Linked DNA regions of Stegostoma tigrinum. The protein of the gene in region 2 purifies or fractionates together with the protein of the main gene of each other region. This does not show direct contact. Links are inferred from orthologs where the notes say so. Each region holds a gene or a part of one and is shown on either strand. Other genes may lie near its edges.

The links.
Region 1: the proteins of slc6a15 (region 2) and klhl36 purify together in Homo sapiens (co-immunoprecipitation; 3 studies listed by BioGRID and IntAct, counting the BioPlex papers as one, with this or other methods). This does not show direct contact. The link is inferred for Stegostoma tigrinum from reciprocal best matches to the Homo sapiens genes SLC6A15 and KLHL36.

The regions. Positions count from the first base shown.
Region 1 is NC_081369.1:49,020,815-49,028,550, reverse strand, and holds the start of klhl36 (kelch-like protein 36), read right to left. Parts: upstream 3,062-7,736; 5' UTR 2,978-3,061; coding exon of another isoform or gene 2,945-2,977; intron 2,725-2,944; exon of another isoform or gene 2,320-2,724; intron 1,195-2,319; 5' UTR 1,175-1,194; coding exon 1,115-1,174; intron 1-1,114.
Region 2 is NC_081371.1:41,943,363-41,950,733, forward strand, and holds the start of slc6a15 (sodium-dependent neutral amino acid transporter B(0)AT2), read right to left. Parts: upstream 3,207-7,371; 5' UTR 3,067-3,206; intron 1-3,066.

The sequences.
Region 1 (7,736 bases), on a different chromosome or scaffold from region 2:
AGCACCAGCATATTGAGCCCCTTACTATACCTCCTGTATGCTCATGACTGCGGGCCAAATTTCATCTGAACTCCAGCTACACGTTCACTGACGACACCACAATTGTAGACCAGATATCAAACACTGAGGAGGCAATACAGGAATCAGAGGGAGAGCTTGGTGTTGTTGTGTGGTGTAGAGGTAACAATCTCTCCCTAAACATCACCAAAACGAAAGAGCCAATCATCGACTGCAGGAAGCAAGGAGGATGGCACGCCCTCATCTACATCGATGGAGCCGAAGTGGTGATGGGCGAGAGTATCAAATTCCCAACAGTGGCGATCAACAATCCTGTCCTGGGCCACCGACTTTGATGTAACAGTCAAAAAGTTACAACACCTCTTCTTCCTCAGGATATCAAAATTCAGCATGTCCATAAGGACAGTCACCAATTTCTACGGATGCACCAAAGAAAGCACTATCAGCATTCATCATGGCTTGGTATGGCAACTGCTCTGCCCAGGACCATTGGAAACCACAAAGAATTGCGAACACTGTCCAGGCCATCACTCAAGCCAACCTTCCATTCATTGACTGCATCTACACTTCTCGCTGCCTTGGGCAGGCAGCCAACCTCTCCCACCCCGGTTATAATCTCCTCCAACCTCTTCTGTCAGGCAAAATATGCAAAAGCTTAAAGCATATGTACCAATAGATTCAAGTACAGCTTCTTCCCCACTGTTACGAGACTTCTGAATGGACCTCTCAAATTTCAAATCTAATGTTGATCTTGCTTTTTGTGCACCTTCTTTGCAGCTGTAACTTTGAACAGGGCGAGACATACAATCAGCCTATGATCTCTGTATGGTATGATCTATCTGTACTGTAGGCAAAACAAAACTTTACACTGTACCCAAGTACATGTGACAATAACAATTCAAATCAAAATTAAACCCATGGTCCCCGAGGAAATCTCAATAAGCTTTGTTGAGTAAGCAAACTATAAAATGTTTCTTGCTGGAGCCATATAGATGAGGAAACATTTCAACAAGTATAATATTATACAATTCAAGAATTCTCTCATTACACACTAACAATATCAGATGCTCATTTTCATGAATGATATTACACTAACCTTTGACGATTCACTGATCTTATGAGGACGAGAGACCCTTGACTGTTTTGTCCCCTCCATTGTAACTTTCCTGATGACGCCTGACCAAAAAAAATCATTAATTGATCAGTTTTTCTTATGGTAAATCTCTGCTGGGCTGTACGTGTTGCTTTGAAACAAAATGTTTTCCGAGACATTTTATTGCTTTAATTTCAGCCCCCTGCTGGCCACTCCTAATAATTTCACAAATAAAGCCTTTTCTGTTCATTAACACATCCAAACAGGTTGACGAGACACATCTCCCTGGTCATCACATCCAGAGATGAGATTTCTATCCCAGAACATTACCCCCTAGATCAATCAAATCTTTACTTACTAAACTTGCCTAAGCTTTATGGAATCAGTAATTCCAGTAAGATACTCTCTTTTTGTTACTGGGTAGAAATGGCTAATGTACGTGAAAGAACCAGGTATCAAAATCACATAATCAGATGAATATGGTACAGGGAGGTAAAGAGACGAATGTTTGTTTTTGTGGTATTGATAGAGGAAAACTCAAGGTCTTCTTGGAAACTTGTGGGATCTTCTGCTCCATTTCAGTGCAGATAGGGCCTTGGTTTCACATCATATCAGAAACACCATTTTTGGCGGTTATGCCCTCAGTCAGTACTGCATGAGTGCATCAGCCCAGATTACATGCCTTCATCTCTAAACTAGGGCTTGAACAAACAAGCTTGAGGCTCAAGATGTGTGAACTAAATCAGACAAATGAAACCCCCAGTGAAGAAAAGTAAATCCTTATTAAAACCTTAGTCAGGATTTTCTAAACAAAGGAGTTAGAGAAGAAGGAATTTCAAATATCAGTTATTTAATGAAAAGAACAAGGCCACAGAAGTCCACTGTTTAAAACAAAGTAACGTTTTTGACTTTGAGAGGCAAACAAAGCAATACCATCTCAGGTAATGCCTATCCTCTAAAATCTAGAATTAACACAAATCAAACATGAATAAACAAATTGTGATCAGTTATAAATGAGGAACTACATCTTAAACACCAGGTATAAAGGATTGCCTTGCAGTTTAGCTTGACTGTCCACTCAGCACATATGAAAACCTCAGTCACAAATTCCCACAAAGAATTTCAGCTCATCATTTTCTGGGATGTAGCCAGATCGCTAGCTATCAAAATTGCACAACCAGCTTCACAAAAACTGTACATGTACATACCTGCCTATCCACAATTTCTGCATCTCACTTTTGCCTTCTTCAGCCTGTCTGAACTGTACCGAAAGGATTATCTGACCTGTGGTGGCTCAATATCCTTTTATATGGTTGCAACTAGTTTCAGTCTCCTAGAAGTTCCTAAACTAATTTCAGTCTTAATTTCTTTAGAAACTGGAGTAGTAAGACTTTTCAATTAGGCTATGTTTAAAAAAAAAGTTCTGAAAGCAAGGAATCCATCACAACTAGAACCATGCCTGCCTAAATGCATAGTAGAACAGTGGAAACAGGTTGGCGGGGGGCGGTGGTTGTGAGAAGTGGAGGAATCGGGTTGGGGGAAGGAGGGATAGGGAGAAAGAGGTGGAGAGATGAGAGATGAGATGGGGAGGGGGAGCAGGGGTTGAGGGTGGTAAGGAGGGGAGGGGGGAGAGGAGGAGGAGGAGGAAGAAGGGGAAGGGGGGTGGGGGTAGGGGAAAGTATAGGAGGAGGGGACAGGGGGGAGGGGAAGAGGATGGATCCCAGCACTTGCATCTGCGCATGCGCTTTATGGTCCATGGCACCGTCCATCACAAACACTCCAAAATAAAATAGCAAAGGTGCAAAGAAACACAACAGATCCAACCACCATTACCAGGCTGAGGTGACTGTTTGTCTCTCCGAGCATTCACTCACTCTCACAACCACCCGGCCATTATCGGCGACCGGCATCGCTTCGCTCAACCTTCACAGTCAGCCCAGAGCGGAAGGCCGCACGTGTAATTTCATTGGTGGTTACAGCGAACCAATAGGGAAGCGAATCTGGGGAACAAAGCGCCAATCAGACAAGGGTTGTCGGCGGTACGGTCCCGCCTACCGTTGCCACAGCAACGCTTAAAGCTGTAACCACGCCCCCATGAAACCACGTGGTGCGGTACTCCTGCAATTGACCCAAGGGCAAGTCCTACCTGTTTCAAGGGTATTTACAACATCACTGAGCAGGTTAATTGCGAATATCCCAATAAGATTGTAAATATTTTAAAGGCATTGGAATGTGTGCTAAAAACTGGGAAAAAAAGTAGGATTGGTCTTACCAGAACTTTGACTTAGGTAGAGATAATAAGACTGCCGATGCTGCAGTTAGAGATAACAGTGTTTAGCCGGAGGAACACAGCAGGCCAGGCAGCATCAGAGGTGTAGGAAAGTTCTTCAGTGACCTTCTTCAGAGGTCCTGGCCAGAAACGTCAACCTTCCTGCTCATCTGATGCTGCCTGGCCTGCTGTGTTCATCCAGCTCCACACTGTGTTATCATTGACTTAAATAGGTTGTGAGCCAAAACAACCTAACAAGTAGGAATTAATTGTTCAAGAAGATCATCTGATCCAACTGTCGCCATAACGACACATTCTTTTCTGACATGTAACACTTGATTCCTGTGTCAACCAAAACTCTATCTAGCAGGTGTGAGCTAGTATCCACTGCAGTCTGAATTCCATGAACAGTAACTCTCTGAAAGAAGAAATCCCTCATCTCTGCTTTAAATGGGAGACCCCTTGCTTTTAAACTGTGCCCTATAGTTCTAGCCTCCCGCAAAAGAAATAAACATCCTCACGGTGTGCAACCTGTCAAAGTGTTATATGTTTCAACTATAACACCTTTCTGTCTTCTTAACGTCAATGAATATATGCCCAATGTGTTCAACTTTTCCTCCTAAGAAGAATCAGTCAAATAAACCTTCACTGAACTGCTTCCAATGTAACTATATCTTTGGGTTCCACAGAAGAGCAATTGTGTAACTATGAACAGACAGTGCTGGAGAAACTCAGCAGGTCCAGCACCATCTGTGAAGAGAAGCAGAATTGATGTTTTGAGTCTGTACTGACTTCTTCAGAAGCTGGAGTCATGTTGAACCCAAAACGTTAACCCTTTTTCTCTGTCTACAAAAGCTGTCAGACCTGCTCAGTTTCTCTGGTATTTTGAATTTTTGGTTTAAATTTCCAGCATCTGCAATATTTTGCTTTAAAACAAGTATATCCTTCTTTCTTAAATAAGGAAGTCAAAATTGTAAACAGGACTAAATGTCTCAAAAGTACATCATACGCTTGTCAGTTAGCTGTGTGGGCTGGATGGCTGGTTTGTGATGCCAATATTGTGGATTAAAGGCCTTCAATGTAAGGACTCTCTTTCTCAACCTGCCGGAACCATGTGACTCTCAGGTGAAAGCAGCACCAAATAAAAACTGAAAGAACTGCAGATGCTGTAAATCATGAACAAAAACAGAAGTTTCTGGAAAAGCTCAGCAGATCTGACAGCATCTGTGAATTAAAAATTAGAGTTAATGTTTTGGGTCCGGTGATTCTTCCCCAGAACTGATGGGAGCTGGGAAAACGTCGATTTGTATGTAGAAAGTAGGGAGGGTGATGGAGTGGGGAGTAAACGATAGGATAAAGGTTTAAGCCTGAAGAGAGAGAAGAGCAGTGGAATAGACAAAAGAGTTGATAACGATCTGGCTATGAGGGTGAATAACTGTTAATGGGGATTGTTAGTGACTAACAAGAGGTGGTGTGTAATGGAGGCTCTTTGAGAACAAGGTCTGGTGTGCAGGGTAAGGGGCTACGACATGGGAGAGTTAGGCCCTACAATTATTGAACTCAATTTTGCATCCGGGGGGCTGCAGGGTCCTCAAATGGAAAGTGACGTGTTGTTCTTCCAGCTGGCATTGAGCTCCATCGGAACACTGCAGCAAGTCAGAGACAGAGATGTTGGCCAAGGAACAGGACGGTGTTCAAGTGGAACAGACACAGAGAGCCCTAGGACCCTCCTGGTGGGGAATGGATGTGTAAAGGAATGGCACATCCATGATAAAGCGGAGGCTGCTGAAACCTGCAAACTGGAAGTTTTGAAACTTGTGTAAAGTGTCAGAGGAATTACAGATGTACATGGGCTGGGATTGGACCAGGGAGAGAAGACTGAGTCAAGGTAGGAAGAAATGAGTTATAGCAATAAAGCCCAGTGACTCCCACAGCTACCTGGACGATACATCCTCCTAACCTGCTTCCTGTAAAGACTCCATCCCATTCTCTCAGTTCCTCTGTCCCTGTTGCATATGTTCACATGAGACCAACTTCAACAAGGGAGCCTCCAAAATGTCGACCTTCTTCCTCAACTGAGGATTTTCCAGCACCATTGTTGACAAGGCCCTCAACCCCGTCCAACCCAGCTCCCGCACTTCTGCCCTCACCCCATCTCGCCTCTCCCGCAACAGTGATAGAGTTCCCTTGTCCTTACCTACCATCCCACCAGCATCCACACCCAGAAGATCATCAGGCCCATTCCTGCCACCTCCAGCAAGATGCCACCACCAGGCACATATTCCCCTCCCCTCCTTTGACCATCTTCTGCAGGGACTGTTCGCTCTGGGATGCCCTAGTCCACTCTTCCTAAACACCCAACACTACCACACCCCCCCCCACCACAAGCACCCCCCCAACAGCCCCACAGTATCTTTCCCTGCAAACAGCAAAGGTGTAACACCTGCACATTTACCTCCTCCCACACCACTATCCAAGGACCCAAACATACCTTTAAGGTGAAGCAACACTTCACCTGCACTTCCCAGAATCTAGTGTACTGCATTCGCCGCTCACAGTGTGGTCTCCCTACATTGCGGTAAGAAAGTGTAGACTGGTTGACTGCTTTGCAGAACATTTACGTCCTGCTTTCAAAAAAGAGACTGAGTATAGAATCGAAAGTTGTTCTGAGGTACATTACATAGATTGAAATTTGAGTTGACTGTTGCAAAGACATTTCTGGGAGTGTAGCATTGTCAATTTAAAAATCTTTCATCGAGGCTAAACTGAGAGAGTAAGCAGACAAGTTGAAGGTAGAATTAAAAGCAGGATCATTTAAGGATGCAATGATTGAACAAATAATTAGCACTTCGAACTAAAAGGAGGGAAACCTGGAATTAAATTTATCAAGATTTAGATAGAAATGAACCTTGAATTAGGAGAAAAAGAGGAGAATAGAAAAATGGAATGTGTAGATCATGGAAAGTGGGAAGAAGGAAAGAAAAAAAATACAACTAGAAACAAGAAAGCTTGAATTCGAAAGTGAGGAGAAAGATAAACAAAGAGAAATGGAAAGAGTGGAGAAAACGATTGATGGAGTAATGGAATTGAAAAAGCTTGAACTCAAAGGGAAGTCAGACAGAGTTTAGTGTAAAGGAAAAAGGAAGAGGTATTAGTATAGGAGTTAATTCTGACTCTAATGAGGGCTTTGCTTTACCTTGAAATTTGCAATACTGCCTAAATTTACAGGACATGGAGTTTGAAGACATTACATACCATTTGAAAAGATAGTTGAAGTTGAACTCACCAATAGATGTTTGGACTTTACTCAAAGTGTCCTGATTGGTGCAAATATGAATGTCTTCTTTATCTGAAGAACAATCCGTAACTACTAAATTGTTAAAAGAGTAATACTCTATTATTATGAGCTTCTCCATGAAGCCAAATAATTAATACTTAGGACTAACCTAATCAGGCATTTCTAGAATGTACGAGAGAAAAATAAACACTCTGGGAATCATTGGTTTCAATCACTGAACTCAGAGAGGAAAATGACATTCTAAGGGAAATTTTGATATAGAAGAATTCTGAAGTATTATTTGAAAACCCTTAACGCTTATCAAGATGAGCAACAAGTATTAAAGATGCTAGAAGTTTCAGTTCTTGTGGACACCTATAATACCTCAGAGAAGCAGCTGTAGTGGTAAAATGGTCAAAGGGGAGTCAATGAAGAAATTGGAGGAATGGAAAATCTGGGATGGAAATGTTTTAGTGGACACACACAAATACACAAAATGGAAAAAAAAAGAGAAAGGCCAGAACCACAAATGATAGAAAGAAAATAATTTGTTTCCAGTGTAATAAGATGCTACATAATAAATCTAATTACTGGAAGTTAATGGGAGACTTATTGCAGTAGTAGCAACACCAAGGGAATCCTCAGAAAGGGGATGTATCAATAAATTGAATCAGTCTTATATTTGTAGCAGGTAGAGATGGAGAGTGTTCTCTCTGACAGGGCAAGGGAGATGTCTCAGAAATGTCAAAAAAAGTTCCTCAATTAGTGATAAAGAAAATCAGACTATTGGAACGTTCTTAACATTTTATTTTAAATGGTGATGTATTTCCTCATGCTTCTATTCGAAGAGGTAAACTAATCATGATACTAACATACACAGAGCAAGTCCATTGTTAATGCTTGGTGATGATATAACCGATCCTCCAGTCTGGCTAATGATGGAAAAAAAGTTGAGTGAAGGTATATGTGGAGGCTACAAACCAGTCCCACTACATAGAGTTGTATTAAACATTGACTTAGTACATGGACATGTTGTGGTGGAACTCGTCCAACAAATTCCTACAGAACAAAATGATTTC
Region 2 (7,371 bases):
ATCCCAAAACCAGCCCAGTTCGTCCCCTCCCCCCACTGCATCACACAACCAGCCCAGCTCTTCCCCTCCACCCACTGCATCCCAAAACCAGTCCAACCTGTCTCTGCCTCCCTAACCTGTTCTTCCTCTCACCCATCCTTTCCTCCCACCCGAAGCCGCACCTCCATCTCCTACCTACTAACCTCATCCCATCTCCTTGACCTGTCCGTCTTCCCTGGACTGACCTATCCCCTCCCTACCTCTCCACCTATCTTCTTTTCTCTCCTTCTTCGGTCCGCCTCCCCCTCTCTCCCTATTTATTCCAGAACCCTCACCCCCATCCCCCTCTCTGATGAAAGGTCTAGGCCCGAAACGTCAGCTTTTGTGCTCCTGAGATGCTGCTTGGCCTGCTGTGTTCATCCAGCCTCACATTTTATTATCTTGGAATTCTCCAGCATCTGCAGTTCCCATTGTCACTGCTCACCACAATTATCTTGTTCGTAGTTCATTTGGTGTATGGAATCTTTACCACAGAGGGCTGTTGAGGCTGAGTCATTTTGCATATTCAAGGCTGAGGTAGATTTTTAATCAATAAAGGAATCAAGGGTTATAGGGAAATGGATATGGAGTTGGGGATTTTCAGATCAGCCATGATCTCATTGAATGGTGGAACAGACTCAATGGGCTGAATGGTTTAATTCTACTCCACCGTCTTATGGTCAAATATACATGTATATCTGAAAAGGAGAAAGTTGCATGTCTATGAAGAAACTCCAAGTGGATCATAAGAAATGGACAGCACTTCACAAATTCTTTTTGATCCACCATTTCTGCACAGCAGCATTCAGCAGAAAACATGGTCCACCAGTACTTCATACAATAACATCATTTATGAAGGATTGGTGTGTAGTTTAAAACACAGAGAAATGCTACCCCAGCCCATCAGTCATCACAATAAAATAAAAATATATGAAGTGAATTTCCACTGGGGTATCAGGATTACTTAGTTATAGTTTCTGGAGCATTCCCCATCAAGGAAATTTCCAGCAATATTAGACTTCAACAACTGATTTTATTTGTGGATAGAGTTTGTGTCGAAAAAGTCTATCAGTTGTATCAATATTTGATGAATTAAGGGGTGTTAGATATCATCAGAATGTACATGTTACAGGGAGGGTTAATCGACCTGTATGTAGCACAATCACTTAACCATAATTATCACTAGGACTCAAATTCCTAAAATACAGAGGTATTTGTAAATCTGTATTAGAAAGAAGTTGGGTGAATTAATGATTGGCAGGCTTCTTAATGTTTGTGCATTGCAATCGTCACACAATGCTACATTGAGATCTCATCTGAAAACTTGCATAAATGCCAAATCAATCGCAGCCAACGCCAAAATGTTTCGTATTAACATCTGAGAAGTCAGCGGGGCCATGCAAATGTGGGATTGGCCGTTCGAGATGGCGCTTTATGGCTTTAAGGCAGAACATTGCAACTTAATACATAAACTGAGGAAGGGTCACTGGACCCGAAATGTTAACTCTGTTTTCTCCTCCAATGCTGCTAGACCTGCTGAGCTTTTCCAGCAACTTTCTTTTTGTTGCAACATAATATTCCCAACTTGTCTCTTATTTAAGTAAAAAAGATCAGTAATCAAAATATCCAGAAAGACGACTCCACAATTTCAGATGATTTATATTTTTACCTCAGCTACCTCTTTGGAGAGGAATCAAACAAATTACTCCTCAATGTCCATCAAGCTGGCCCCAGGAAATCAATAGCCCCCGCCACAGCAATCTGACTCAAAGGAGCCAACCCACCTCCGCATTATACCAGCTGACTGGTAAAACATTTTGTGGGCATTCTGTCAGTGTGCAGAATTAAAATGAAATGCGAAACGCACACGCTGGCAGGTATTAGACTGAGCTACTCGATAATTCCTGTTGCATCACTCTGACATAACCTGGGGTGAATCATTTTCTTTAATAAGCCGGTAACAAGATTGACGCTCGCGTTTCCCCACAGTCACGGGATGCTGAAAGACAAAGGTGCAGCTGGATCAGTAACATCGTGTCCTTCAGCCGCCCCCCGACAGCAAGCTGCGTCTCCCCATCACAACCTCTTCTATATCAACACTTGCAACATCCCGTCTGAGACCATCATCCTCAACAAGGGCTGGGTTCCATCCTCTCAACCTCGCGTCTGCCACACAGAAATAAGGCAGTTATGGGGAGTCATGTCATTGTCAGTAACATTCCCTCTGTATCAAATATGAAATGAGACGAAGCCAATGTGAAACCATTTCGGATCTTATCCATAAAACCTGAGAGGCGTGGGTCAAGCAAACTAAAAGGAGGGGCTTGGGATGGGGTCGCAGGTTACACTATTAAATGACCTTGCAATGAAACTTGACGAATACAGACTGCAGCAGACCAAACGTAGCGCAGACTGCAGCATCAGACTGCGTTATATCGTAGATCGAGAAATAAACTCCTGTCCAGTCGCTGGGCTTGTGTTTATGTTTACGTTCGAAGCATTTCCATGTGTGTGTGTGTGTGTGTGTGTTTGCATTCGTGTCTGCTGGTGTCTGAATGTCTATGTATATGTTATTGTATTTGCGGCACACAGACGCAGTGGGCTGAGCAGACACAGCCCGCTTGCTGAAATTTGCATACAAACCCAAACAGACTCATCCCATTCTCTCTCCGGCAGGCTGCACCGAATCAACTCCGCCAAGTTACCATCCTTGGCGGGGGCCAAATAAAATCAAAGAACCGATTTCGCCGGCCTCTGTTCTGCCTCCGTCTACAACATCAATTGCTTTTGGCAATGCAATGTGAGCAGGGGCTGCAACACGATGAATGAAATACTCCCGAGCCGAGCAAACGTCTCCGCGTATCATTTTCTTCACAATTCTCAAACCCATGGATCTATTTCCAATAGATTTACCCTACCTTCACTGCATCATATCCAAATTACAAGTCGTTGTAAATTAGAAGTCGTTCCGAATTACAATTGCGTTTTTTTAAACAAAGATAAACACAATTTTGCGGCTATGATTTCTAATTCTACGCATCATGTTACCTTTTTGCAACGGAAGTGAAATGAATGAAGGCTCTAGGTCCTGGGGCAGGCTCGGTGTTAGCGTGCTGAGGGACTGAAGAACTGGTTTTCATATGATGAGAGACTCGAATGTTTCTAACAGAGAGCCACACCTTCACTGAACACCCACCCTCCAGTGACGACAGTCAATAACATAAACCATTCATTTAAAGGGGAATGTTTTATTTATTGACTTCTAATGAAGTTCCCTCTTCAGCCCGCTTTTCAATTTCGCTAAAAGAGATTTTATTTAAATTTATGCAATTGACACCTCCCTGAGTTTAGTGCTGTCCGTTTGAAGATGTAGCCAAAGGCCCCCAAACTGGAGGGGATTAAAATTGCAGTGCAGGAATATACAGTGTGCTGCCTCATCTACTTTGGGTGAAATCGAAGGACCTACTCATCCTCCTAAAACAGTTCTGCCGGGGAGCAGGTCCCTTCAATATCAGTAAAACTCTTTAATTTCACCTATACATTGTCTGTATACAGTACTTGGGCAACTGTAACCATTTCCGTGTTGAAATGACATTTCTTTTACGGTTTGGCGACTTCAAACTCTGAAAGGGGGAGTTGACACTGAAAATAAGAAAAAAAAGATAGCGAATTTTCCAATGACTAATACAATGCATCTGATTGCTGTCGTTTATAGAGTGAGAAGCGGAATGAGACTGATCAGGCAGCATCACGGTCACCCTCATGTTATAGATCCGTCTTCCCTTTTGTCGGCCTGTTCCCAGAGCTTGCTGTCAGGTTGTGCTTCAGTTATTAGCCGTCAGGGATGTTCACTTTGCTAATGCAGCCAGATTTGCCGTTAAAGTCCAGAGCATCGTGGCAGGAAAACAGACTATGACATTTACCTCACTGCCTCATTCGGAGGAGGCACAGGGCATTTTTGTGAAATTGGTCAATTAGCTGTGTCGTCTTCAAAGACATAACCCTAACATTGCCTTTCCCAGGGACCGTGCAGCCCAAGGGGATCAATGTGGACTTCACAAGCTTCAAAATCTCCGCTCCCGCGACCACAGCCCAGCCAGTCCCCACCTCCCTAACCATTCCTCCCAACTGTCCCCGCCTCCCAACTCAAGCCCCGTCCCCGTCTCCTACCCACTAACCTCATCCCGCCTCCTTGACCTATCCGTCCTCCCTGGACCGACCTATCCCCACCCTAGCTCCCCACGTACACTCATCGTTACGAGCTCCATTCCCACTTCTTTGACCTGTCTACCTCCTCTCCACCTATCTTCTCCTTTATCCATCTTCAATCCGCCTCCCCCTCTCTATTTAGTTCAGAATCCCCTTCCCCTCCCCCATTTTTGAAGAAGGGTCTAGAAGGTTGGCTTTCCTGCTCCACTGATGCTGCTTGGCCTGCTGTGTTCATCCAGCTTCATAGCGTGTTATCTCTTTCCCAGGGCATCTCGATTTATAGAATTTGATAAATCTCCAGCATCCTAATCCTGAACTATAAATCAGAACGTTACCAGTACATTGTCAGACAAGAGAACCTGCTACCAAGCTGAGGGAACATAATGGATGAGAATTACTGGACTATTATACAGCGAGGTAGTGTTTTAGGGACTAGGTTCAAATTGTGCCATGGCAGATGGTGGAATTTGAATTCAATAAAAATCTGGAACTAAGCGTCTACTGATAACCATTGTCAATTGTTCATTTGGTTTGAAAAATTCATTTGGTTCATCACCATCTTTTAGGGAAGGAAACTGCCATCATACCTGCTCTGGTCTACATGTGACTCCAGACCCACAGCAATGTCGTTGACTCTTAACTGGCCTCTGAAATGGCCTAACAGGTCATTCCCTTGTATCAACTGCTAGAAAGAGAAAATGAATGAAAATGGACTACCTGGCCCATGGACTGCAGCAGCTCAGGAAGGGAGCACAAAGGCAACTAGTACTGGCAACAAATGCTTGCTCAGCCAGTGATGTCAATGTCCCATGAGTGAATATATATCTTTAAAAAATCAGTCTTTTCATGCAACTATTTACAAAAAATTCAATCCTGATTTTTAACTGACAAAGTCACCATCGTCCCATAGGGCTGCTGTCTCAAAGAGAAAGACAACCATTGGTGGTTTCACCACACCTCAGGCATGGGTGAGGGTTTAGAGAAGGGTTGAGAAACTGGAACCTTCATAGTAACTTCAGCTGGTATGGGAATGGAACCTGTACTGTTGGCAACATTGCATTGGCACACAGAACTCCACTGTTAAACAAGTACTGTCGATTGTCACACATCCTGATAGAGGTCACTCAGAAACTTCAAAGATGCCTAATGCTTTAGTGGCATCATTCTGTCCATACTGTCTGATCAGAAGTTACATGTTGTATTTTTTGTTAAGTCAGATTGTTCCTTTTAGCACACCCTGAAACCTTTAGATTCCTTGTGCTTTGTGTCATGTCACATTTCAAGTCCTGATATTTTCCAACTCAGCTATATGACTCTGAGTTGTTTTACAATGGAGAGGATTTTGTGTCTAGCAACCTCTAAGAGGAAAGAACAGCATAATTAAATTTGGTGATGGCATAACCATTTTTCTTTTCAGTTACTATGTGGATTTCTTACAACCGAAGCAGTAGCTGAAAAATAATAATGAATAAACCATACAAATGTTTTAAAAGGGCAGATTCTTTCCAACTCACCAAAGGAATATTTACATCCTCAATTGCCAGCTGAAAGTAGAAGCCAATTATGACCATTACTTTCTCTTTATTTGGTGCCATATGCCAGATGTTGGTACATTGTGTGCTACCTTCTGCAGAATGAATAAATAATGTCAATTGGCTGCTGCAATCTCCAGATCCTACACTCACAATCAGAATTAATGATGGAAATAATGGGAAGTATTTAGCTGGATATTGCTCACATTAATAACAGCATGTGAGACACAAAATGTTGTCAAGTGACGTTATACACGTGGCAAGGAGTCTGATGTTATTTTGGCTACTTTAAAAAAGAAATCCTTGACTGCTGTGATTATAGAATGCTATTTTGCATTCCTGCAATTTATTAGCTATCTTACCATTCATCTTTAAATACTCTTGCCTTTGATCTATGAAGTTATTAAACTTCTTCCACCATTTTAAGAGAGTCCTCCAGGTATATGAACTGATCACTCTCAGCCACTTTTATCGCTTTCTCATGTCGTTTACTGTGAGGTGTGATGCTTATTTCCTGGAAATCTAACAATGAAGTCACCAATTTCATTCTCCAGTTCCTTGGCTCAAGTTGCTTAGTCCTTTTTCTAAGAATTGGCTTAGCCTTTTAGATCCATGAAGCTCTTTTAAGCACAGAGGTCTTGCCCTTAGTAGCTGAACATAGAAACTGTCAGAAATTCTCCAATTTATTTGACATAAATTCCACTCTACCACAGTTACAGGAGTGAATGAGCCCCCAGGAATTTCCAGGCAAACATTTCCAACCGTTTATTGTAGCCAACATTTATCCTTCAAATATTATTCACCAAACAGATTAAAAAGTCATTTATTTTCTTTTCTGCGCCTTTCTGTGAATAAATTGGTTGATGCATTTCCTAATGTAATAACAGTGACCACACTTCAAAACTAGTTCAAGGTTATGAAGTGCTTTAAGCTGTCATGAAATACAATATAGTCATACAGTTCCCTTCTTTCCCATTGACGTATCAATTACATTTTCTGAATATTTCTTTTTATTCCGAAACTATGTCTGTGCTCTTTCTTTATTAACTCTTTTATCAAGGCATCTTGTCTAACTAAACCAGCTTTCTGTTTCTATCAGGTTCATGCTTGAGAGCTTTATTTTCAAATTTGTCAGGCTGCCAGTCTTTCATGAGCAATCCCAGGCTACTCTTTATCATCCTTTTCTTCATCTTGCCCGTTCGATGCCTCATACTTCTAGTCATCCTGTATAGTCCATGCGCACTTTGCTGTTTTTCACCTACAGTGATTCACTGATCAAATTTCCACCATTCGTTTTTTGAAGTTGTATATGTGCAGTGCAATTTCTTCAGAAACATGGATTTTATTCTGCAACTTCTGAGAGATTCAATGGCTCTCATCCTTCAGCTTTTCACCAATAACGATTCTCTAACTAACTGCATCGCTGAGATTCCTGTACATATAGGATAGCTATACTGCTGATGGCAAAAAGCACAAATATATGAAATCAATCAATGAAATTAACAATGATGAGAAACTGAAGAATGTGACAGATGGTTAGTGAGAAACCGTGTGATGAGGGAAATCAGGACATTTGAAATGTGACACTGAACTACAAACAAGTGTTTGATTG